Arabidopsis thaliana: one gene and its partners. The protein of the gene in region 1 interacts with the protein of each later gene in a pairwise test. Each region holds a gene or a part of one and is shown in the gene's direction. Other genes may lie near its edges.

Evidence for each region. Proteins that work in one complex are often made in the same cells at the same time.
Region 2: the proteins of RCAR3 (region 1) and HAI3 interact in binary tests that used the Arabidopsis thaliana proteins (3 or more experiments, as listed by UniProt).
Region 3: the proteins of RCAR3 (region 1) and IAA31 interact in binary tests that used the Arabidopsis thaliana proteins (3 or more experiments, as listed by UniProt).

What each region holds. Positions count from the first base shown.
Region 1 is NC_003076.8:21,557,433-21,565,390, forward strand, and holds RCAR3 (regulatory components of ABA receptor 3), read left to right. Parts: upstream 1-3,168; 5' UTR 3,169-3,593; coding exon 3,594-3,731; intron 3,732-4,012; coding exon 4,013-4,228; coding exon of another isoform or gene 4,229-4,308; coding exon 4,309-4,521; 3' UTR 4,522-5,277; downstream 5,278-7,958. Other genes in the region: FTSH11 (FTSH protease 11), read right to left, coding at 5,591-5,740, 5,850-5,903, 5,999-6,088, 6,289-6,570, 6,660-6,808, 6,937-7,066, 7,338-7,418, 7,511-7,636 and 2 more. UniProt on the Arabidopsis thaliana protein: Receptor for abscisic acid (ABA) required for ABA-mediated responses such as stomatal closure and germination inhibition.
Region 2 is NC_003071.7:12,605,401-12,613,242, forward strand, and holds HAI3 (highly ABA-induced PP2C protein 3), read left to right. Parts: upstream 1-3,274; 5' UTR 3,275-3,454; coding exon 3,455-3,823; intron 3,824-3,911; coding exon 3,912-4,229; intron 4,230-4,322; coding exon 4,323-4,724; 3' UTR 4,725-4,950; downstream 4,951-7,842. Other genes in the region: AT2G29370 (NAD(P)-binding Rossmann-fold superfamily protein), read left to right, coding at 659-750, 975-1,182, 1,289-1,505, 1,584-1,690, 1,781-1,963; SMO2-2 (sterol 4-alpha-methyl-oxidase 2-2), read right to left, coding at 5,358-5,412, 5,497-5,613, 5,673-5,885, 5,981-6,100, 6,267-6,412, 6,603-6,740, 7,370-7,399.
Region 3 is NC_003074.8:6,017,081-6,024,369, reverse strand, and holds IAA31 (indole-3-acetic acid inducible 31), read left to right. Parts: upstream 1-3,222; 5' UTR 3,223-3,329; coding exon 3,330-3,454; intron 3,455-3,551; coding exon 3,552-3,763; intron 3,764-3,861; coding exon 3,862-3,946; intron 3,947-4,034; coding exon 4,035-4,089; 3' UTR 4,090-4,397; downstream 4,398-7,289. Other genes in the region: HYH (HY5-homolog), read right to left, coding at 76-262, 336-399; BSH (transcription regulatory protein SNF5, putative (BSH)), read left to right, coding at 4,779-4,828, 4,924-5,018, 5,128-5,222, 5,563-5,634, 5,747-5,794, 5,877-5,960, 6,064-6,102, 6,228-6,310 and 2 more. UniProt on the Arabidopsis thaliana protein: Aux/IAA proteins are short-lived transcriptional factors that function as repressors of early auxin response genes at low auxin concentrations.

The sequences.
Region 1 (7,958 bases):
AATGTACAATCTTTTTTGGTATTTTGGTATTTACTCAATAGACCAGAAAGAATCTTGTAAGAACTCAGTTTGGGATTCGAATATATATATGGTGGTTATGGTTATTTGTTACTTTTTTTATCTTTGAAGCATTCATTTTGAAGTTCATTGTCATGTTTAGTGAATTTGGTGGTTGTGAATTTGTGATTGGCCAAACCGGTCCATTTTGAGACCAGCCCATTTAAGCATGCACCGACTTGGTCCTTGTTTTAGAATTTGTGCCTCATATATGCAACTGATATCTCTCAATCTGGTTAAGTTTGTTTCTTGTCAGCGTCTTCTTATCATTTACTTAGGCATCAAACTTTTGTCGGCATGCCATTGTGTTTGAGTAAGAGGCCAACTTTGATATTTCAAGATAAATTTGTGCCTCCTATATGCAACTGAGATCTCTGTTTCAAAGCTACAACGTTCTCTGTTTTCGTAAAAAGGACTTTAACAGCGAACTTTTAGAAATTGTAGACTAGTAGTGAGAAATTTTTGACTCACATCATCTTTTTCTCATGTATCTGAATAAAGAAGAAGTGTGAGATTTTGATTCATAAGCCATTAATGGTGTTCACGTTTCTATAGCTGAAATGGTCAAAAACAAAAGATAGATGCAACACATGATCCTCACTTGTCTCTTTATTATGAGTTTAATTTTTTTCTTTCTATTCTCATCTCTTCCACACCTTTTGTTTGTAGGTCCACTTCTCTCTCTCTTTTTCTCATCTTCTTTAATATATTTAATTGGATAATACTATTTCTATATATATAATCGTCGTTGTCATACTATTTATACTAATATCGACACATGAAGTGAATCTAAACATTCCCACTTTACAAAGGTGATTGTCCTTTTACATCCAATCAATCGACTTACTATTTATGAGATACTCACTTCTTTGTCCTTAATGTAAGATATTAAGGCTCTTGAGTGATAGAAATCAAACAAGTGTTTTGGTTGTTTTGTTTATGCTAATGAATGAAGTATGGTCTATGTTGATTGAAAGGATAATATCTAAGTATAGATATTTCATGGTGGTAATGTCTAAACTTGAAATGATGGATTTATATAACTTTATATATGCAACCAGCAAGCAAACAAGAGCATATACATAAAGTTATTTATTAGCAGAGAGCTTCCTATTTGCTCAGAGAGTCATCAGTCTTACATGCCAATGATGTCAGGCACTGAGAGTCGGGTTGCAAATGGAAGGCAAACTCAACACCTTCCTTGACCACACTCAAAATCTCCGATATACATTCCTGAGAGCCCACCTGCAAGCTCCAAGCCCAATCTTAAAAAGAAACTATGGGTATCCAATTTTTTTTTTTTGTGTACTTTAATCTTGAGGTAGTAGTATTTTCGAGAATACTTTAGCACGTTACAAAGTTAGCAACGAATTTTCTTTTTCTAGATATGACTTATAAGAGCCAAACCTTTTTATGTTATAGAAATCTTTGTCACTTTGAGATACTTTTATTCAGGATTTAATAAAGAGTGTTGGATAAAGCACGTGGGACCTTTTGCTCTCTCGAGATTGGCTCTTCGAGTCAGGAAAAGTTAAGACTGTGAAGCAAACCCTATATATGATACTGTATACAATATATTTTTTGGATAAAGGATTGTGTAAATTAAATGATCAAACTATATACTTACTATTCTGGCCTTAGTGGTTATAAGATACTAATATTATACTGTAAATGATCAAAACAAGATACTATTGTCAGAATGCGAAAAAATAAAGCGAAGTCCAACTTAATAGTTTACGAACTTTTACTTCATATTATGAGTCGAATGAGAGTGAATACTGGAATTGGTGATGATGCAGAAAACCGGATTAGACGAAACAAAGAGAACATAATACAAATCATTGGTATGGAACTGACAAAACGTACGAAACAATCGATGTTAAATGGTTAGAATAAAATTTGGATGATAACCATAATAACTGCAGTGCATGTATAATCATTAAATTTTAGCTATTTTTAATACTTGGAATAATAGATGTTTACTATTTTTATCATATACCTAAAGAAGTTCTTGTAATTTGTACTTAGTACCTGATTTGTCGTTCTAATCCTAAAAAAAGATTTGGTCCTTTGTAGTTTGCTTCAAAGGCCCCGAATCTGCATTGATCATGGTCTGGCTCGGGGGTGTTAAGCACACTTTTAACTAGTGATTATATGTCTAATTGGGACATCAATATACCTCCATGCACCTAGTAATGTGACCATCCGTATAATATGTGTACTATCTCTTCTTCAGCTAAAGGTTAACGAGCATAATCTGGTTAAGCCCTATGTTTGGTTTGCATTATAACAATCTCTCTGAAATTTTGTAGTATTTTCATCAATTTAAATTAGTATATTTTCGACAATTTGAATTGTTCTTTGAGTCTGATCACAGTCAAGTACACGAACTATATGCTGATCTGATCGAATTCATTCTACTATATACACACACATACACAAACATTTTACAGTACACCACTAATACTATAATCCCAATAACAAGAAAACCTAAAATATAAGTACACATTAACAAAAGAAAACAGTTTGCAAGTTATTAAGTGGTTTTTGGATTTGGTTTATAGTTTTTAGATTTTTGCATTAATTATATATATATATATATATATATATATATATATATATATATATATATATATTTGAAACTAAATATGAAAAAGTTATAGCGTTAAAAAGTGAAAAACCAATGAAACATAGATTTTAGATTTCCTTTAAAAATCTAGATTCCTTATTTTTATAAGGAAAACCATTTCTCCCAATCTTAATTGGCTATAAAGTAGATTTTTGGAAAAAACTTAAGCCATAAACAATTTCAAAAAATCTATAACCATTTCAAAATCTTTAATCCTTTTTTTTTTTTGTCAAAACAAGTCTTTTATCCAAATGAAAAAGCACCCAAGAAAAAAAAAAAAAAAACTATCCAATAATTGAGTCAGCTCTCATAGGCTTAAACAATACTTTAAGGATCAACATTAAATAATTACCACACTTGAGGGGTAAAACTAAAAACGGTAAATAAAACACAGAAAAACGACAACGAGGGGCAAAATCGAAAATAAAGAGAAAATAGTGGGATAATAGAAGAAAGCATCCAATGAGAGTAGTGAAATCAGAGAAAGACCTTTACTCCTTTAGTCCAATACCATCCAATCAATCTTTTTCTTTTTTTTTATAAAAATCTCTCACTGAGTCTTTTTATTTAAATATTATAAAAAGGAGAGAGAAAAAAAGTTTGTTGGAGGATTCGTCTCTCTCTCTCTCTCTTTCTCTTTCTCTCATCTTCTTCTTATCTCCCTCCAAAGACGGCGACTGTATAATCTATCATTTCTTCACAGTAACGCTTTCATCGGAAGATCTCGCCGGAAAAAAACTTCTCTCTGAGATCAGATCTCTTACGATTCTCAGCTCAATCTTATCTTTTCCTTTGTTGTGCTGCTTTTCACTCTCTTCTGCGCGACGAATTTGGCCTTGTTTTTTGTTTGTTTGTCGTATCCGACGCGGAGGTATTGAGAAACCGTGGCTTAAGACGGAGGAAGAAGATGGAAGCTAACGGGATTGAGAACTTGACGAATCCGAATCAGGAAAGAGAGTTTATAAGGAGACATCATAAGCATGAGCTTGTGGATAATCAGTGTAGCTCTACGCTTGTTAAACATATCAACGCTCCTGTTCATATTGTAAGCTTCTCCCTTCTTCTTCTTCCTTCATGCGCTCTGATTTTCTCTGTTTAAGTTAATCGGTTCTTCTTATTGTTGATTCAATCCAGAATTTGAAATCTCTCTCTATTTTCATCGATTGTTGATCTTACTGATGAAGAATCGATTGGTTTCTAATTATTGAAAGCTTACATAGCATTTGTGTAATCCCAATCTGAGTTTGTTTGATCTGGTTTTGCTTTATTGGAAAAAAAAGCTCCCAAAAACGCTTATGGATTAGTTTGAATCTCTCTGGTGAATAGGTGTGGTCACTTGTGAGAAGATTTGATCAGCCACAGAAGTATAAGCCGTTTATCAGTAGATGTGTGGTGAAAGGAAACATGGAGATTGGTACAGTAAGAGAAGTTGATGTGAAATCTGGACTACCAGCAACTAGAAGCACTGAGAGATTGGAGTTACTTGATGACAATGAGCATATTCTCAGTATCAGAATCGTTGGTGGTGATCATAGACTTAAGGTAATCAATGAATCAAAAGGTTCGTTTTCTGTTTACAGTGAATCAAAGACTTATATGTTCTATATTGTTTTTGGATTTAGAACTATTCTTCAATCATCTCTCTTCACCCCGAGACTATAGAAGGAAGAATAGGAACACTTGTGATTGAGTCATTTGTGGTTGATGTACCAGAAGGAAACACAAAGGATGAGACTTGTTACTTTGTTGAAGCTTTAATCAAATGCAATCTTAAATCTTTAGCTGATATCTCTGAACGTCTTGCGGTTCAAGACACGACAGAATCGAGAGTCTAAAGATCAAAGGAGTAAGAAACTATTGAATCAGAGAGATTTTGGTTGCCATGGATGAAGCTCTCAAAGGGAAAAAGAGAGAGTGGGTGAGTTTCTTTGAGGATGGACAAGGCAAAAAAAGTATCATCATTTATCCAGTTACATAATAAGTTTCTCATTTGCTATTTTTGGGGTCATTTCACTTTCAAACCCTCTTTTTAATTTCATGTGTCTAATTTAATGAATGTGTTTTTGGTTTCTTCTCTATAGAACCAAAATATGATTTTGGAGTTTAGCTTTAGCAACTTGCAGGAATCTTTTTACAATTTGCAGAGAAGACATGTTAAAAGTGTGTGTGATCATGGGGTTCCACTCTCTTCTTCCTTTTTTAACACTTTTAGTTGCACCCATAAAGGCCACACACCGTCTTTCTTATATTTATTTTTTCTACTTTTAAAGATGAACCAATAGGGTTTGTGAGATGTGAAAAATCTCCACAAAGGACCATTAAGGAAAGAGATCTTTGTTGTTGTTTATAGATTTTGTCTTGACTTGTGATTGGGGAAACACACTTTAGCTCCATTAGCTGTAAAAAGTTTTGTATACTATTTTTACAATGCCAAAGTGTTTCTGTTTCTTTTTTCCTAAATTACAGTAGTGGATAAATATTCGAATCGGTCACATTGACAGGTGGTATCATTAGAATTGCTTCTATATGTTTTCTTTCAATTTTGTTCCAAACAATACATGTAATTTCATCAGAGGACCTTGTAAGCTGCAATAAGATTCATTGGCTTTCAAAATCACATCAGAGAATAAAGACAACAATTATTACTTTCTTTTCAATGTTGTTTTACATTTTTCTTCATAGAATTGAACAGAATGTCAAAAAGGGCAAAAGGTTCAAGGTCGAAGCGAAAACTAATGAGCTAATGAAATAAAAACTACAATAATTTTGTAACATGAGATCAATAATTTCATATGTTTTTCTTTTGGTTGTTGTTGTAGAAGCTATGGGAGATTTACTCTGTACAAAGCTTTGAATCTCCCTTTTTCACCCAAAGAAGTGTGTTTATGGTAATGAATGATGTGATTAGGCCAATACCAAGTCTCCTTCTTCTTGTTGTTGCTCTTCAAATTTCTCGCCTTCCTGCTTTGGAAGGAGAATACGCTTTATGTCCTCTGCGGTTAGCGTTTCATACTCTAGAAGTGCGTTTGCTAACGTGTGTAGCTGCTTCTCATGCTGGGGAAACACACACACACACACACACACACACACACACAAAATCGAAGTGAGATTAAACAATTTTGATCCAGTAAAAAATGCGACTATCTGTAAACTTGGCACAAACCCGTTTCAAGAGAGATTTCACTCTCTCATATGCTTCTCTAAGAAGCTTCACAACCTATACATGTATCAACACCACCAGATGAATGATTAGATTTAGGACCAATGGGATTTGAATGAGGGAACTAAAAAAAGTGAATAGAGAGTCTCTACCTCGGCATCAATGCGTGATTGCATATCAGAGCTTGGTCTTTCTTTTATATGAACTGGTCCTATTGCCTCACTCATCCCACAACTCGATACCTTCCATTAAAAAGAAAAGCATTACTACAACTACAACAAGAGGTAAGATCCATCTTCTCGCATTAACTTGTAAGTTCACCTTAAGGATCTCAGAGACTAAGTCCCTCAAACCTCATTCCAGAAAACTAAAAGAACCAAAGGCTAACTCTTTTGATAAACCAGAAAAAAAGAAGCAATTAAGCACATGTACATGAGGTTACCATGTATTGTGCAAGTTCAGTGGCCTGTGACAGATCGCTACTCGCTCCAGTGGTAATATGGTCCAAGCCAAAGATGAGCTCCTCTGCAACTCTTCCTCCCATACATACATCGAGACGAGCTAATAACTGCCTCTTGCTCACTGATGTTTCATCGTTTGAAGGTAACTGTGTAACCATTCCCAATGCAGATCCACGTGGCATTATAGTCGCTTTGTGGATCGGGTGCGCACCTTTCGTATTTAAAGCGACAATAGCATGACCACTCTCATGGTATGCAGTGAGCTAAAGAGGCAAAGAAGTAAGTGACAGGTCATATCATGTTTGAACTCCACATCCAAACACTTCTATGTTGTTAAGATATTGGAATATACCTTTTTTGAGTCCTCTGATACGAACATTGTCTTCCTCTCTGTGCCCATGACAATTCGGTCCTTTGCGAATTCCAACTGTTCAGAAGATAACTTCTCAGCACCTTCAACAGCTGCTTTTATGGCAGCAATATTTACCAGGTTTGCAAGATCTGGAAAAAAGTTTGGTGAGATTGGGAAAAATGTGGTGAGTCATTGAATCTTCATAGGTTAGTGACAAAAGAAGACACTTCTGAATTTCAGGGTGACTAAACTGTAGTTATAGATTTAAGAAACTCACCAGCACCATTGAATCCAGGAGTTCCACGAGCAATTGCTTTAACATCAACATCTTCTGACATAGGTTTGCCTTGGAGGTAGAGTTCCAAAATCTCTTCGCGTCCACGGACATCCGGACTGGGTACGACAATCTAAAATCAAATCTGTCAGTAATTCATTTTCCTTTCGAAAAATCTGAAAAATTGTTCGTAACATAGCAGTGCACCTATCTAAATACTGTTCAAAAAGATACAGATGAAAAAACATTGAACACCAGATGCGCAAAGTGACAAAGTCAAAAACAAATCCTCAAAACAGGGGGTTTCTCAAGACAAGAAAAAGGTATCAGTTCTTCGTATTCCAGTAACTCTTATCTGCAATACTAATACGTCTCAGAAGAATAACAAGAAAATGAAAACTTACATGTCTATCAAATCTACCCGGTCTTGTCAGAGCTGGATCAAGTATATCAGGCAAGTTTGTTGCAGCCATAACTATTATTCCCTGCATAACCAAAATAGAAAGCAAAGTACTATTATATTCCTGCAAACTAGCGGAAGTAATCACAAGATACACTACTCCTAATCAACAAGTACCTCATTCTGCTCAAAACCATCCATTTCAACAAGTAGTTGATGCAATGTCTTCTTTGTATGCCCTTCCCATTGTTTTCTTGTGGATCCAACAGCATCAATTTCGTCAATGAAAATAATACAAGGTGCCTGTAACACATGATCGTCATTAAATATAAAAGTTCATTCATGGTAGCCTAATCAACCAAACTCTTTTAAAATAGCTGATAAGCAGTGACAAGTTGAGTCATACCTTCTTCTTGGCTGCCTGAAACAAGGATCTCACACGGCGAGCTCCTACCCCAACAAACCTGTAAATCGAAGGGAAAAAAACATGATATTAGAAGACATTATCCATTATTGAAGAAGCCACCTGATTGAAATAATTACTAAATAGATAATGATAATGTTGCCTAAGGCAAATGCCAGAGAAAGATAGCTAGAAGAAGGCTCACATCTCTTCAAATTCAGA
Region 2 (7,842 bases), on another chromosome or scaffold:
GAGATGAATTGATAAATTAAGACGAGATGTGTTGAATGTTGATAGAGCTAGCTGCCTATCTCTCCATACATGCCTTCTAAGGCTTCCTCACAAACCATAAGTAATTTGGTCGTTTTGACGCTAGATGTTTGTTTGTTGTCCCATATATCAAAGTCAGGTGCTCACATTTTTATTTGTTGTATCTCAATATGAAAATGATTGTATAGAAAATGAAGAAACGAAGGCTAAGTGTGCCTTTTTTATTATTTAAATAGTTTGTATATGACTTCAAAATATATCCAAACACAGATACTTTGGAATTTATAATGACAGTTGACATCTAAAAAAACCTGTAAATTGGAAGGTTTAAGCATATGTCTAATTATTATTTATCCTTTTCGTTTTTTATATTGTACATTCATTTTTTACCACTCTCAAATATGAACTTTGTATTTAGTTCTAATAAAATTATGAAGTTTTAAATACTCAACCGACTGGACTGGTACAACCAACCATCCAATAATGATGTCGAATCCGATATTTTGTCCCCATTTACAACACACTTGCATGGTTACGTGTGATATTATAATATGTATAAACGGTCTATAATTTTTCCTATACCGAGTTACAAATAAGAATCTCCATGAATAGATATCTGCTCTGTGGCTGATAACCAAAAATGGCAAAGAGAGGGGAAAGCTTGAGAGACAAACCTAAATGGAGTCTTGAAGGCATGACTGCTCTTGTTACCGGTGGATCTAAAGGCCTCGGGTCAGTCCCAATTTTTCTACCTTAATTACTTACTTCCCTATAATTTCAGTACCGAAACTGAGCTCTGATTTCAATCATGTATAGACTTTCGTTTTATTTGTTAATACGGCTCAATCATAGACTTATGTGGATCTTTTGATAGTATTTCTATGTTTAATCAAATCAACCCCTGAAAAGATCAAAGGCTTAATGATATGTATAAATTCATATTGATGTATAAATAGAAAAGCTGTGGTGGAGGAACTAGCCATGTTGGGAGCAAGAGTTCACACATGTGCCAGAGACGAAACTCAGCTTCAAGAAAGCTTACGTGAATGGCAAGCAAAAGGGTTACAAGTCACCACTTCTGTTTGCGATGTTTCTTCTCGTGACCAGCGAGAGAAACTCATGGAAACTGTTTCCTCTCTCTTCCAAGGAAAACTCAGCATCCTCGTAAGTGTGTGTGTGTATATATATAAGCTTCTCCTCCTCCTCGTCTATGAGCTTGGATCGACAATGACCAAAATCATGTTGAATTTTGTTTGCTTCGTTTGTATAGGTACCCAATGTGGGAATAGGTGTACTAAAGCCGACGACTGAGTGTACAGCAGAAGAGTTCTCATTTATAATAGCTACAAATCTGGAGTCAACTTTCCATTTCTCGCAACTCGCGCATCCTTTATTGAAAGCCTCTGGTTCAGGGAACATTGTGCTCATGTCTTCCGTGGCTGGAGTTGTAAATTTGGGTAATACATCAATCTATGGAGCAACCAAAGGTATAATTATACGCATACTCGAACAATTTATGATTCTTTGCTTCTATCGCGACTTAAATAAATGTATACGCATTCTAGGAGCCATGAATCAGCTGGCGAGAAATTTAGCATGCGAGTGGGCGAGTGATAATATAAGGGCTAATTCTGTTTGTCCATGGTTCATTACAACTCCGTCAACTAAAGATGTAAGACAATGAATAAGAAAATACATTTCATTTATAGTATGAAAAAATGGTTTAACTATTTCTTACGAAGTTTATGTGAAAATGTTTCAGTTCCTCGGTGATAAAGATGTAAAAGAAAAGGTGGAGAGTGTGACACCATTGAGACGTGTTGGAGAGGCAAATGAAGTATCATCGCTTGTTGCATTTCTATGTCTTCCCGCAGCTTCTTATATAACAGGTCAAACCATTTGCGTTGATGGAGGTTTCACTATTAACGGCTTCTCTTTGCCTTAAACACGTATATATGCATATATTCATGCTTAAATTTATGTGATTAATTAGTGGTTTCACTGCATATTAATTCATACAAGTTTTATATGTAACTTATGTTGAGGGAGCTCACTCCGTTCATGCCTTCTAATGTTTGGACGAAGAACTCAATCTTTTATCTTATCGGATAAGAAGTTACTTGTGTTCACATTTGATGTTTGTTCGTTTCCAATCGTATTGTGACTTTTGATATATAAAATAATTATTGTATATATTCTACTTATGATATATGATTATATAGTCATGTAATGATGACCGTACGATTTTCAACTCTAGTATCCCTATCTTTAGGGGGTTATGGCTAAAAGCCTAAAAAGATTACTTTTGCTAAAGGAGTAAAGATTATGTTCATAATTTTTTTTAATTTATATAAATTTATTATTATTATTCTCACGCATAACACAAAACAAAGAAAGAATTATCTTCATAATTATATATATATATATATATATATTTGATATAAATTTATTATTATTATTATTCTCACGCATAGCACAAAACAAGTTTCTTCTATATATCAACTAAACTAAAAGACATGTCGTTGGAAACATACTCATATATCATATTCAAGGACTCATAATAATAGACATGTAAACAAAATATTCCTTAAATTTTCTAAATTCAAAAACAAACTATATATGTAACTTGTTATTTAATCTTCTTGGGTATATAAAACTTTATCGCATTTCTTGGATATTTGGACGATGAGAATTCAAATTGCTTTGTCGATGATAAATTTGTTTAATAATTGTTCAGACTGCCATCACAACATAGCTGATTACTGTCATATAAGTCATACATATTATATTTCCGATGATTCTCTGGACTCTCAAGACAATAATAATAAAAATTCAGATATAAGTTTATTAAGGTTTTCTTTGTTAACGTGTTTACTGTCTAGGGACAAACATAAATTATTAGCACTAAACTTGTTAGGTTTTGAAAGTAAACACTGATTTATACCTAAACTTAGGTTATTCATGTAATCAAATGTGAAAACTAACGTAATGAAATTCCTCTAGTTATTTAAATACAGAAAACAAAACCTACCTTGCGGGGAAAAGCATCGTGGCGCGAAAGGAAACTTCCTATGATCCGTCATCCGTGCCGTCTCAATTTGATTGGACCACGAATCTCGCACTCGATACTGACGCCTTACGTGGATTACTTTTTTTATAGAAAGAATTTAAAATTGTTTCTGAAGAGGCAGGTTTTGTGTATAAAATAGAGAATGCAAGTAACGTGTAATGACATTATTTCTCAAATTGAATGGTTTTCGAGCATTTTTATTAACCAGTGAAGCAACCAAAACAGGAATCACCAGTTCTTGAAAGAGTTCATCAAAAAAGAAAACATTTCTTGAAACATCTAAGAAAGAGTTTTGTTCTTCTTGATCAGAAATACAGAGCAAAATCCATTTGAAGACATCAAAGTTTAAGGTTTTTTTCCCCGGATATGGCCGAGATATGTTACGAAGTAGTGACCGACGCATGTCCGTCGTCGGTTTATGAATCAACGCCGGCACATTCACGGCGGAGGCCGAGATTCCAAACGGTGATGCATGAAGATTGGGAGAAGAATTGTAAGCGTAGTAAACAGGAGGCTTTAGCTACGAGATACTCTTCAATTCCTCGAAGCTCTCGGGAGGATTTCTCTGACCAAAATGTCGACGTATCCAGTCCAAGATACGGTGTTTCTTCGGTGTGCGGTAGAAGAAGAGAGATGGAAGATGCGGTGGCAATTCATCCTTCATTTTCTTCTCCGAAGAATTCGGAATTTCCTCAACACTACTTTGGTGTGTATGACGGCCATGGTTGTTCCCACGTACGACTCCGTTACCATGCATTCTTACGTTTTCCGAAATTCTATGTTTTCAGTTTTAGCTGATACGAAATCTTTTTTTTTTCCTTAGGTTGCAGCAAGGTGTAGAGAGAGGCTTCACAAGCTGGTGCAAGAAGAACTAAGTTCAGATATGGAAGATGAAGAAGAATGGAAAACGACGATGGAGCGTAGCTTCACACGCATGGATAAGGAAGTTGTATCGTGGGGTGATTCCGTCGTGACTGCAAATTGCAAGTGTGATCTACAAACACCGGCTTGTGATTCCGTCGGATCAACCGCTGTTGTCTCAGTCATTACGCCAGATAAGATCGTTGTCGCCAATTGTGGCGATTCCAGAGCAGTTCTCTGCCGCAATGGGAAACCAGTCCCTTTATCAACCGATCACAAGGTCAGTTCCGTTCAAAACATGTTCAGTTTCATTTAAGCAATGATTGGATTTGTGGATTAACTTGGAGATTGTGTTCTTTGTAATGAAACACAGCCTGATCGGCCAGACGAATTGGATCGAATCGAAGGAGCTGGTGGACGAGTCATATATTGGGACTGTCCAAGAGTTCTCGGAGTCTTAGCAATGTCACGAGCAATAGGAGACAACTATTTGAAACCTTACGTGAGTTGCGAGCCGGAGGTAACCATAACGGACAGGAGAGACGATGACTGCCTCATACTAGCTAGTGATGGTTTATGGGATGTTGTGTCAAACGAGACCGCCTGCTCTGTAGCGCGTATGTGTCTCCGTGGTGGTGGGAGAAGACAAGATAATGAGGATCCGGCGATTTCGGACAAGGCTTGTACGGAAGCGTCAGTATTGCTAACAAAGCTGGCGTTGGCAAGGAACAGTAGTGACAACGTCAGTGTCGTTGTGATTGATCTCAGAAGATAAGGACACGTAAGTGGACACTAGTCGAAGAGGAAGACAATTTTGCTTTAACTTTCTATATCAGTTTTGCTTTTTGGTTATTCTTGGAATACGTTGGTTGTATACAAAATTAACCCGATTTTATGGAAACCCCGAAAAAGGGTTAATTAATAGAAATGATAAGAATTATTCTTGTCAACCCTAATCCTGTTTCGTGTATGCTTATAATCTTAAATCAAATCAAATTAAGAAGGTCGACATGTAAAAGCATTTTGCTTTAAAAAAGATTGTCAGACTATACTATACCTTTTACTTTTAGGCATTAAGATACTTTAAGAGGTACTTAGTCTCTGCCGCTAGGCAAAGACATGAGAGTAGATCATAGGTTCTAAATGCAATTATGAGTATTAGCAGTATCTAAAGAATAAGAAAAACAGTAAGCAGTAGTAACAACAAGTCCAATAGAAACGAGGTCACGTATAAATTTCAACATCGAATCGACTTCAGACTAGCAGCTTTGATTGTACAACCCAAATTGTAGCAAATAATGATGTTCTTATGACTAAAGTTGAGGAAATGGTAGAGACAAAACAAAAGAAAGAAGGTTTTTTGAGAACAAGACCTCTCTCGGGAATCGAATTTCACGTTTGTTTGTTGTCAGGTTTCTTTTAGGGCCTTAAGTTTTCTGTAACCTTTATCGGTGCCAAAGATCCTGAAGTAACATAGATAAACATATTTACATGTTTATTATAGTTATGACTTCTGTTAAAGTAAGAAACAGAGTTCAATAATTTACCAGTCCATGTAAACAAACGTTGATGAGTAGTTGCCAGACTTTGTGTAGAGTAATCGATGATGGTAGTCATGGAAGTCAGCACTGTAAGCAAATGATTCCCACATTAATATTAAAGATCTGTTAGGTTTAAGGTGTTGCTCTTTCAAGGCAATCACAGGTTAGAAGTCTTATCTTACCCGCCGTATAGAGGAAGAAAATTCGAGGGGCTCCATGGGAAATGATAACCACAATGTGCCTCAACTGTCTCAATAACTCTGAGCATCATCCATAACCAAAGGGTGATCAGGTGAGGCCCGGTGAGAGCCGGACCAACAATGGTAGCAAAACCAAGGAACAGAATTTCAGCGGGATGAGCATATTCTGATGTCAAACCAAACGGTGTCGCGTACCTGTATATAAGTAATACCATAAGATTGTTTATTGAGGACCATGAGTGAACTAACATTGTCAAGCACAAAAAAGATGGTGAGTACTGATAGCTTACTCATGATGCACACTGTGCACGTTCTTGTAGAGCCATTTAGTATGCAAGATCCTGTGACCCCAATAGAATACAAAATCCTCAATGATGAAGTAGAATAAGATCTGGGCAGACACCACTTTCCTGCAAGAGCGTCACCAGATATAGTTTCATAAACCAGATCAAACATAATGCAGGTTCTTCTCATGCAGCTCAACACTGACATTTTATATATATTGCCCATTGGAAGAGTTTAACATCAGAACCCAAAGGCAAAAAAAGCTTTCAGCACTAAAGAACCTGATAATACCAGGACGGCAGAGGAAAACTGCTTTCCATGCCCATGAATCTGAATACAGGATACGACGCCATCATGAGGGGCAAGTTTACGCAGCAATGGTAAAGTAATAGTCGAGCAATGCATTTTCCCTGGGCTTCAGGAGTATTACTTTTGGTCTGCAAAAGACCAAACAAGAGTACTTGATAAATCTAGAAGACAAGCTAAACCAGTTATCACTTTGACATTACCATTGGGGAAATGAGAACACTGACAACTTGGTGATATCTTTCCATTCAGTTTATATTTGAACAGACACACAAAGCTATTAGTTAGAAGACCACTGAATCATGAGAAGAAAAGACAAACCTGAATTTTGTAGTTGCTCAGAAAACCAGTCCTTTCTAGGAAAATGTAAGGGAGTCCAGACAAGAAAAACACGCTTTCATGAAGTATAAAACTCCCAATACACGCCAGTTGAAAGTCACTGAAATGCGTAACAAGGTACTGCATCATCGCCACAAAGAAGGGTCAGTGTCACAGCTAGAACTGTCAAACTAAAGAGCTAAACATGATTGCCAAAGGGAGATAAAATTTGTTCAATTCCACGAAAACTGAAGGCAATTGTATATCATTGACACCATCCATCCAGTCACTCACGCAGAAAAGCAAGTTAAGAAGACGTTCAAGGAAAACCTATTGCTTATCAACACGTATCACAATCACAGATCCTCTAAGCTAGTCCAAGCTCCAACAACAATACATAAATCCCACTCAAATTCCAAAAAAAAATACAAGCACAAACAGAGATCACATACGAAATCAGTAATAATCTGTAACTAGAACAGTCAAATCCAGATCTGAAACCACAACGCAATCGACACGAAACCAATTCAATCTCAACATAAAGGGACCACAACAATACAATACGATGGACCACAGACGACAAACACAAAATCAACCTAACACGGCAGATACTAATCCCGTACCTACACTTGTATCATAAATGCAGTACACTCAAGTCGCCAGAGACCGAGAAACAAAAAACACGATTCAATCTCTGAAAACAAAACAAAAAAAAAAAACGTAGGAATCGCATACAAAGGAACGCGACGAGATAGAGGAATACGAAGTACCTTCCAACCGGATTCAACGAGAGAATCCATGGATACCAACAGAAGTAGAAAACACGATGGATCTCCGCGGCGGAGATAGGCAGAGAGTGTGAGAGAAAGAGAAAGAGAAACGAAAACTGTGTGACAAGAAGGAATCTGAATTCTAAAGCTGATTTGTTTGTTTCTCTCCATCACACGTGCACACACATGTTTCATTATTATCCTTAATTACTTGATATTTTTAATTTTAGGACCATATAGTTTTACATGTGACAATTGGCACCCCATGTTAAATTTTTGAAGTGAACAATACGTAGTGATTATGGCTTTATGGTGGTGAAGAGACTAAAAAAAGTTTTGAATTTGGGTTCTCCTAAATAAATAGAGAGTACAAATGAGAATCTAATATTATTCAGAGAGAAGACTAAAAACACACACACATTTTAGACAAACATAGATGTGAGAGATGCTAAAATCACAGTACAGACTTGACT
Region 3 (7,289 bases), on another chromosome or scaffold:
AGTTTCTTTTTTACCATTTCAATTCCACAAATCGAATGCTAAGAAAAAAAAGTTTTTTTACTCATCATTGATTACCTCTTGAGGCTTCTATATTCTTTATCAACAGGGTTTCTTCCACGGCGGCGTTTAGCTGTAGAGACTCCATTTTGAGTCTGGTCAAGCTCCGGATTGTTGACTCCATCGTCGGCGCTGCTGCTTAGAACACATGTTGATCCAGCTGCTTCCATGTCAGGAACCATCAACAACTCCTCATCACTTTCCTCTGAGAATTATACAAACCAATTTCTCTAAACCAAATTAAGTTAAATATTAGATAAGTTTCTTTCAACACCTACCAGTTTTGTGCTTCTTGTGGGAAGAAGACGAACTCGAGTTCCCATTGGGTCGTTGGAGAGACATCAATATCTTTTTGTCTTTTGAGATTTTGCTAAAGACGAGAATAGAGAGGTAAGAGGTTGAAGAGAATATCAAACCAAAGGAAATTGCATCTTTTCTTTCTTCTTTGGGGCCACTCAAAGTCTGCAACTCGTTTCAAACAAAAAAAAAGAGAAAAGTATTGGTTGGCTTATAAAAGAACACGTAGGTTTATGTAAGACCACAAATGCAACTGTTTCAATCCAATGGTGTGTATCTGTGTTTTCTTTTCCACTATATCCCGTTGAACTTATTAATTGATTTATTGTTCTGTTTTGCTTTTAAAGTCTTTGTTCATGATTTCTACGGAAAACAACCTTTAGTGAGTATTCACAGAGCGTGTGGGTTTAGGACAATAATTACTGTCTAGAACCATACAAACGTACTTGCAGACAAAGTCAGAGGCACAACTATGTGTGTGTGTATCTATTTGCATGGCGTAATAGGCATGCATAAACTCATCATGTGGTCATATATCTCGTTTTCTATTTTTTGGTACACAAATAACTCTTTTGTATAAAGACAGCTAACTAATGTTTTGAATTTTTAAATGTTATCTCTTAAAATTAAATTCTACCAATTGTAAATTCAGTCAATCATTCCGAAGCATTTTTTCATGCTTTGTGATTCCGCCATATATTTTCCCATGTTCTTTTTTACGTTTTTCATCATAATTTTAAAGTTTTACGATTTTTTGTTGTTATCAATGAAAATGGACCAAGTAAACTTCTACCGTAATGGTTGCATATTAGATAGTGGACTTATGCGCGCGCGCGGAAACAAAACTTGGCCGGTTGAATCGTCGTCTGCCTGGCATCTAACAGTTTTTTCGAACATTGTCATAATCAATATATTGAGGGATGTTAATCATGAAGTCGTATGGAATGGACGCGGGAAATCACTCATAAACAATGTGAACATTTTATAAGGTTATAAAGAAGAACAAGTTTCATCCTTCTTTTGTATATTTCGACTCATACATATCTTTCTATTCAGGAATAAGTATAAAACATAATATAACATGTGGCATATCGACCGACCAATACATCTTTCCCAACCCATGATCAACCTTCTGATTGTGTTTTAATTTATTCGTCATGAAATGGATCAGAATACTCATGATGAGTTTGTGTATCACTCAAGGGACCCCTTGTCTTAAAATCAACTAAAATCATTTGATGTAACTTTTATACGAAGTACTATCCAAATAATTAATTTTCATAAGCAGCGGACATTCATTTTGTTTGTATGACTATATGATTTTATTATTTGAAGCTGTATGCAAACGTGGAGATATGATTGCATCTTTGTCTATGCATGAACATGCCACGTTAATTTAGGAGTACATATCATGATATTGATCTCTCTTGCTATAACTTTTTGGCACAATACTATTGCATGCCTCTCTATATTACTTCAACAAAACGTTTAAATTTACCATGGTTAGAACTTAGAAGTAATCGAGCTGCAAACCATGGTGATCATATTTTTTCTCGTTCGCATGCTCGGTCTTAATATATTGAGAGTTATGGCCAAAATTTGAATACCATTTTAAGAAACTTCAGAAAATCAGGAGTTTGATTATTATCTTTGGTTCTTACTTACTTCAACGAAAACTAATGACAAAACTCTTTTAAGTCGAGGTATGCGAGTAATAACTCCTTGGACATATTTTTTTGATAAAAGTTTAATTGATTATAGACTTATAGTAGTCTTAATTATTATTATAAGTATAAAGAGGAGTAAACATTCATCATTAGACTACTAGACATTATAAAGTTATATATATCGAAATTCTAACAAGAAGGATCCCTAGAGACCAGACATGCATGTCCAAAGACAGATCGTATAATAGCTAATAGGAGTCTTATCGATCCAACATCCAAGGTAGGCTTTATTACAAAGTAACTATTAGAGTGCACTTCCCATGATGATTCTAGAATCTAATATTATTATCAATACAGCCAATGAGCATTATGTGATGTAACAATTTATGTCTACTTTATATTTTGAAGTTATCATAAATCAACGAATTCTATTTTGATTTTCAAAAAAGAGTAAAAGATTTGGGCTTCTAAGAGAGACAATCCACAAAGCTAAAGAGACATTAACAGGAAACGTATAGTTAAAGAAAAGAACACTGTCTGCTCCACAAAAACAATATACACAAAACTCTTCAAGTCTACCTTATTTTTATTGGTTCTGCAATTTTCAATGGTCTGTTACATTAATGTGTCATAAGAGACAATTGAGTTTTCTTATCAACAGAAGGGTCTAAAAAATTGATCCCCCAAGTTCATAGTCTATAGACTCAGTTTTTTTCTTTCAAATATTGATGTGTAAGAAAGTGAAAGTGATGTGATGCTCTGTTTCTGTTTACGGCTAGACAATAAAGCCTTTTTTGGCCCTTATCTCTCCTAATTAAAGAATCTGAGCAGTTGAGAAATTAAAATCAAAGCCTTAACAGATTAACTCCAACATCATTTAGACACACTTTCCTTGGATACCACCTTTTTACGGAAACTTCGAATCTTACATGTAAACAAATCTCAAAACCATAATTTCACATTTTTACTACTAACTAACTCCAAAGATCTAAACCCATGAATTAAGTATCTAATCGGGTAATTATTACAGTGGTTTTCAGAAATCAATGTGTGTTCATATTTAGAAGGTTGAAAGTTCATAGTTAAATGTGGGGAACCTTATGTTCCTATTATTTATTTATATTAAATTTCAAAGTCGATTAAATCAATTTTTAAATTCAAAATCTATGCAATAGAATCACCTACTAGTCCTTTTTTGTTTAACTAGACAGAGAGAAATAGAAATAGAGAGAGAGAGACATGAAGAGCACTCTCAATAGAGAAGAGAAGGAAGCATGAAGCTAGCTCTGCAGCTTCAAGGTCTCATTAATGGAGGTCTCTAACTCTTGTTCTTCATTTTCTTCATCCTCTGTCGACAGTACTAAACCTTCTCCTTCTGAATCTTCTGTTAATCTCTCCCTTAGTCTCACATTTCCTTCTACTTCTCCACAAAGGTCTTATTCACATCACTTCTCTGTTTTTTCCTATGTTCTGTTTTTGCTCTGTTTTCTTTTGTTCACATTTGTGTTTTAAATCTTTATTTTTTTGTAGAGAAGCAAGACAAGATTGGCCACCGATAAAGTCTAGATTAAGAGATACACTAAAGGGTCGTCGTCTTCTTCGTCGTGGTGATGACACTTCTCTCTTTGTTAAGGTTTATATGGAAGGTGTTCCCATTGGAAGAAAACTCGACCTTTGCGTATTCTCAGGCTACGAGAGTCTATTAGAAAATCTCTCTCACATGTTCGATACTTCAATCATCTGTAAGTAATTAATGAACAACACATAATTCCGTAAAAACAACATTCAACTAAATTCAAACAGTTTGAAGTATATCCATGCATTGTCTTGGCTATAACAGGCGGTAATCGAGATCGAAAACATCATGTTTTGACATATGAAGACAAGGATGGAGATTGGATGATGGTCGGAGATATTCCATGGGAGTATGAATCTTATATCTTGATCTTACATTGGTATAATTTCCTCGGTTATAGCTATTCTCTAATTTTTGAAATCGATGTTTTTGTTTAGTATGTTTCTTGAAACCGTGAGAAGACTAAAGATCACGAGACCGGAGAGGTATTAAAACTTGGATCGGTCAAGGCTGTGATTGCGCAGTTACGAGACGTGTAAGATTTAGGCATTGATGAAGAGACTTGAGGCGGGACGGAGCTATTGCTGCATATTGCAACAAAGGCCTTGAAGAAGTTGGAGAATTGATTGATGCATATATTTATTTATATGACACCTTTGAGTGTGTTTTTTCTTATAAATAAATCACAATATCCAAGACTTCTCTTTTTTGTTCTGAATAATAATAATGCAAAGATTTTTTATATGTTTGTAATCGTGTGTTTCTTCGAATGTGTTACATGACTAGGAAAAAAGTACACGAACGTTGTTATGGGGAGCACGAACATGGAATAGAGGAACGTTGTCAGGAAGAGAATGATTCTCTTTGATCTGCCGGCAGCCGTCTCGTTGGTTGTCACCAATGTACAATTTTAATGTTGAGCCCATTTAAAGCCCACTAAATGACTAACAAGCTCGTTTAAAGCCCAAATGCTGCAATTGATCGTAGGATCGGATCCAGATAATTCGTCCCAAAATGGGAAAATTCCAAATTAGAGGTGAAATGTGTAAAGACATTAGAATATAAGGGTGATTCTGAAATAAATTAAGCTAGCGCCGGAAAAAGATCGAGAAATTGAAATTTCCCACACTCTCTCGCTGACTCTCTTCGAAACTCAATTTGTGAAATTTGGGGGTTTAAGGATGAAGGGTTTAGTGTCTACTGGTTGGAAAGGTCCCGTCAAGTTCAGGATGTAAGTTTCGTCGCTTCCTCTACTTTGTTTGTTTTGAAATCGAAATCGAGTTCATGTGTTTTTGTTTTTTCTGATGAATCGATTTGTAATCGGAGCTATAGGCCCACTGCTGAAAACTTGGTACCTATTCGATTGGACATTCAATTCGAAGGTCAGCGTTACAAAGATGCTTTCACTTGGAACCCTTCAGGTTTCTCTCTTAAAAACCCTACCTTTTTTTTTGTTTTCCATCTTCTCGCATCTTATTACAGTAGCAGTGTATGTGATTCACTGATTCTTGTTTTTGGTTTTGGATACAGACCCGGATAATGAAGTCGTTATCTTTGCCAAAAGAACTGTTAAAGACTTGAAACTTCCCTATGCATTTGTCACTCAGATTGCCCAATCTATTCAGGTTGTTTCTAAACTAGTTCACACTGACCTATCTTTAGTTTTTCTTCTGCTCTGATTTTGTTGTTAGTTCTTTTGCTTGTCATAGAGATGAGCTTAAATTTAAGGTCACCTATTAGTCTTAAACCAATCACACTTTCGACTTATTGTTTTTAACTCTTTAGGTTTTTTTACTCGAGAAGAGGCCTGTTTATAGCATTGTACTTTGGGATGTATATCTGTAAGACTGTGCTTTTGTGATGAATGTACTCTTGCTTCAGTTATGTTCTGTTCTGTTTTTGTAAGTATTGGAATAATTTCTTCAGAAATCTCTACTTACATTGGTCAACTTCCTGCTTTATCAGTCTCAGCTCTCAGACTTTCGGGCTTATGAAGGACAAGACATGTACACTGGTGAAAAAATCATACCAATTAAGGTTTTATGACGCTAGATATCCTTATCCCTCTCTCTTTTGTCCATGAGTGATTTGTTGGAAAAAAAGAAGTTCTAGAAGCTGATAAGCTATCTTTCTTTCTTTTTTGTGCCAGCTTGATCTCCGAGTTAACCATACTCTCATCAAGGATCAGTTCTTATGGGTGAGAATACTTGGTGATTTTGAACAATTTCAACTATTGTTTGTACTCTTTTTCTCAGTGCAGCTTGATTGCCGTTTTGCAGGACCTAAACAATTTTGAGAGTGATCCTGAGGAATTTGCAAGAACCTTGTGCAAGGATTTAGGTGTTGAAGACCCTGAAGTTGGAGTAAGATAACCACTCAATTTTTTACATTTCATTATCTGAACTAATGAACCTAAGTTTCAAACGTTTGATACAAGTGATTTTTGGTTTCTCCTTCTCTCTGAAGCCTGCTGTTGCCTTTGCAATAAGGGAACAACTTTACGAGGTTAAAACTTTGATTGTAACTTTAAGCTACTCTCTCTGTATTTCTGTATACTCTATATATGTTTTCTATTTTGAACAAGAATGCCAAACTTACTGAGTTACCATGTCGTTGTTTTTGCTTGCCAGATTGCAATTCAAAGTGTGGCTTCAGCTAGGGAGAGTAGATTAAGCAAGAAAGGCCGCAGAGGATCTGATCATGGTTCAGCGAGGTATGTTCACGTTGCCCCTATTTGTCTATCCAAGTTACCTTGTGGTAATATTAGAGCCTAGCTCAAAAAATTCTAAAATAACTTTCCATCTTATATGTGCAGCAAGGCAAGTGGCCTGTCAATGGACTTAATGAAGTTATTCAGTTTTAAGTCCAGTGTAGTTCGGTAAGTGATTTTCTTACCCACTTAATGCATACATTTTCTCTGTTGCATTGTCTTCTTAAGATCTGTTGGACGACTGACTTCTAGCAGCTAGATCGTTTATAAGATAAGTTAACTTTGCGACACATCCTGAGCGTTTTTCTTACACATACTCTTGAATGCCACCTCTTCATGCATTATATCATTTGATAGTAGATTATCCCAATATTTGGAGCTGGTCCCTACTGAGATTGTTCTAATAGTAATTTCTGGTGATGTTACATGTTGTTATTGAACATAGAAAACCGAATCACTAGGTTGGAAATTGTTTGATTACAAAATAAACTCTGTGGAAATTGAAGAAGTTCTCTTCCTGCATTGCTTATCACTAAATGGGAGTTTTTCAAAAAATAAGATTTATGGACACGAACAAATTTGACTTGCAAGACCAAGCAAAAGCTATAACAGAATCCAAAAATAACAAATTTTGTCCATGATCTTGACAGGAAAAGGAAAGACTTGGATGTTTATGAACCAGTTGTGGATCTGCTAACAAGTGAGGAAGTTGATGCGCTTGAAGCCAGGGAAGAGAGACATGCAAGGTGAAGAGTTTCGTTTACATGTATAAATATTTCTTAGGGCAACACTCAAAATATGTTGTATCATGCTTAACTTGAGTTAATGATATTAAGACAATCTTTTATGAGACACATAATCCTTAAGATGCATCCGGTGTGTATGAGTGCCCTGGCCTAAGTATGAGATTTCGGTTTAGTAAACCTGGTTAGGTGAAACACCAGTGGGTGTGGAATGAAGAATCTTTAGATGATATAACCTC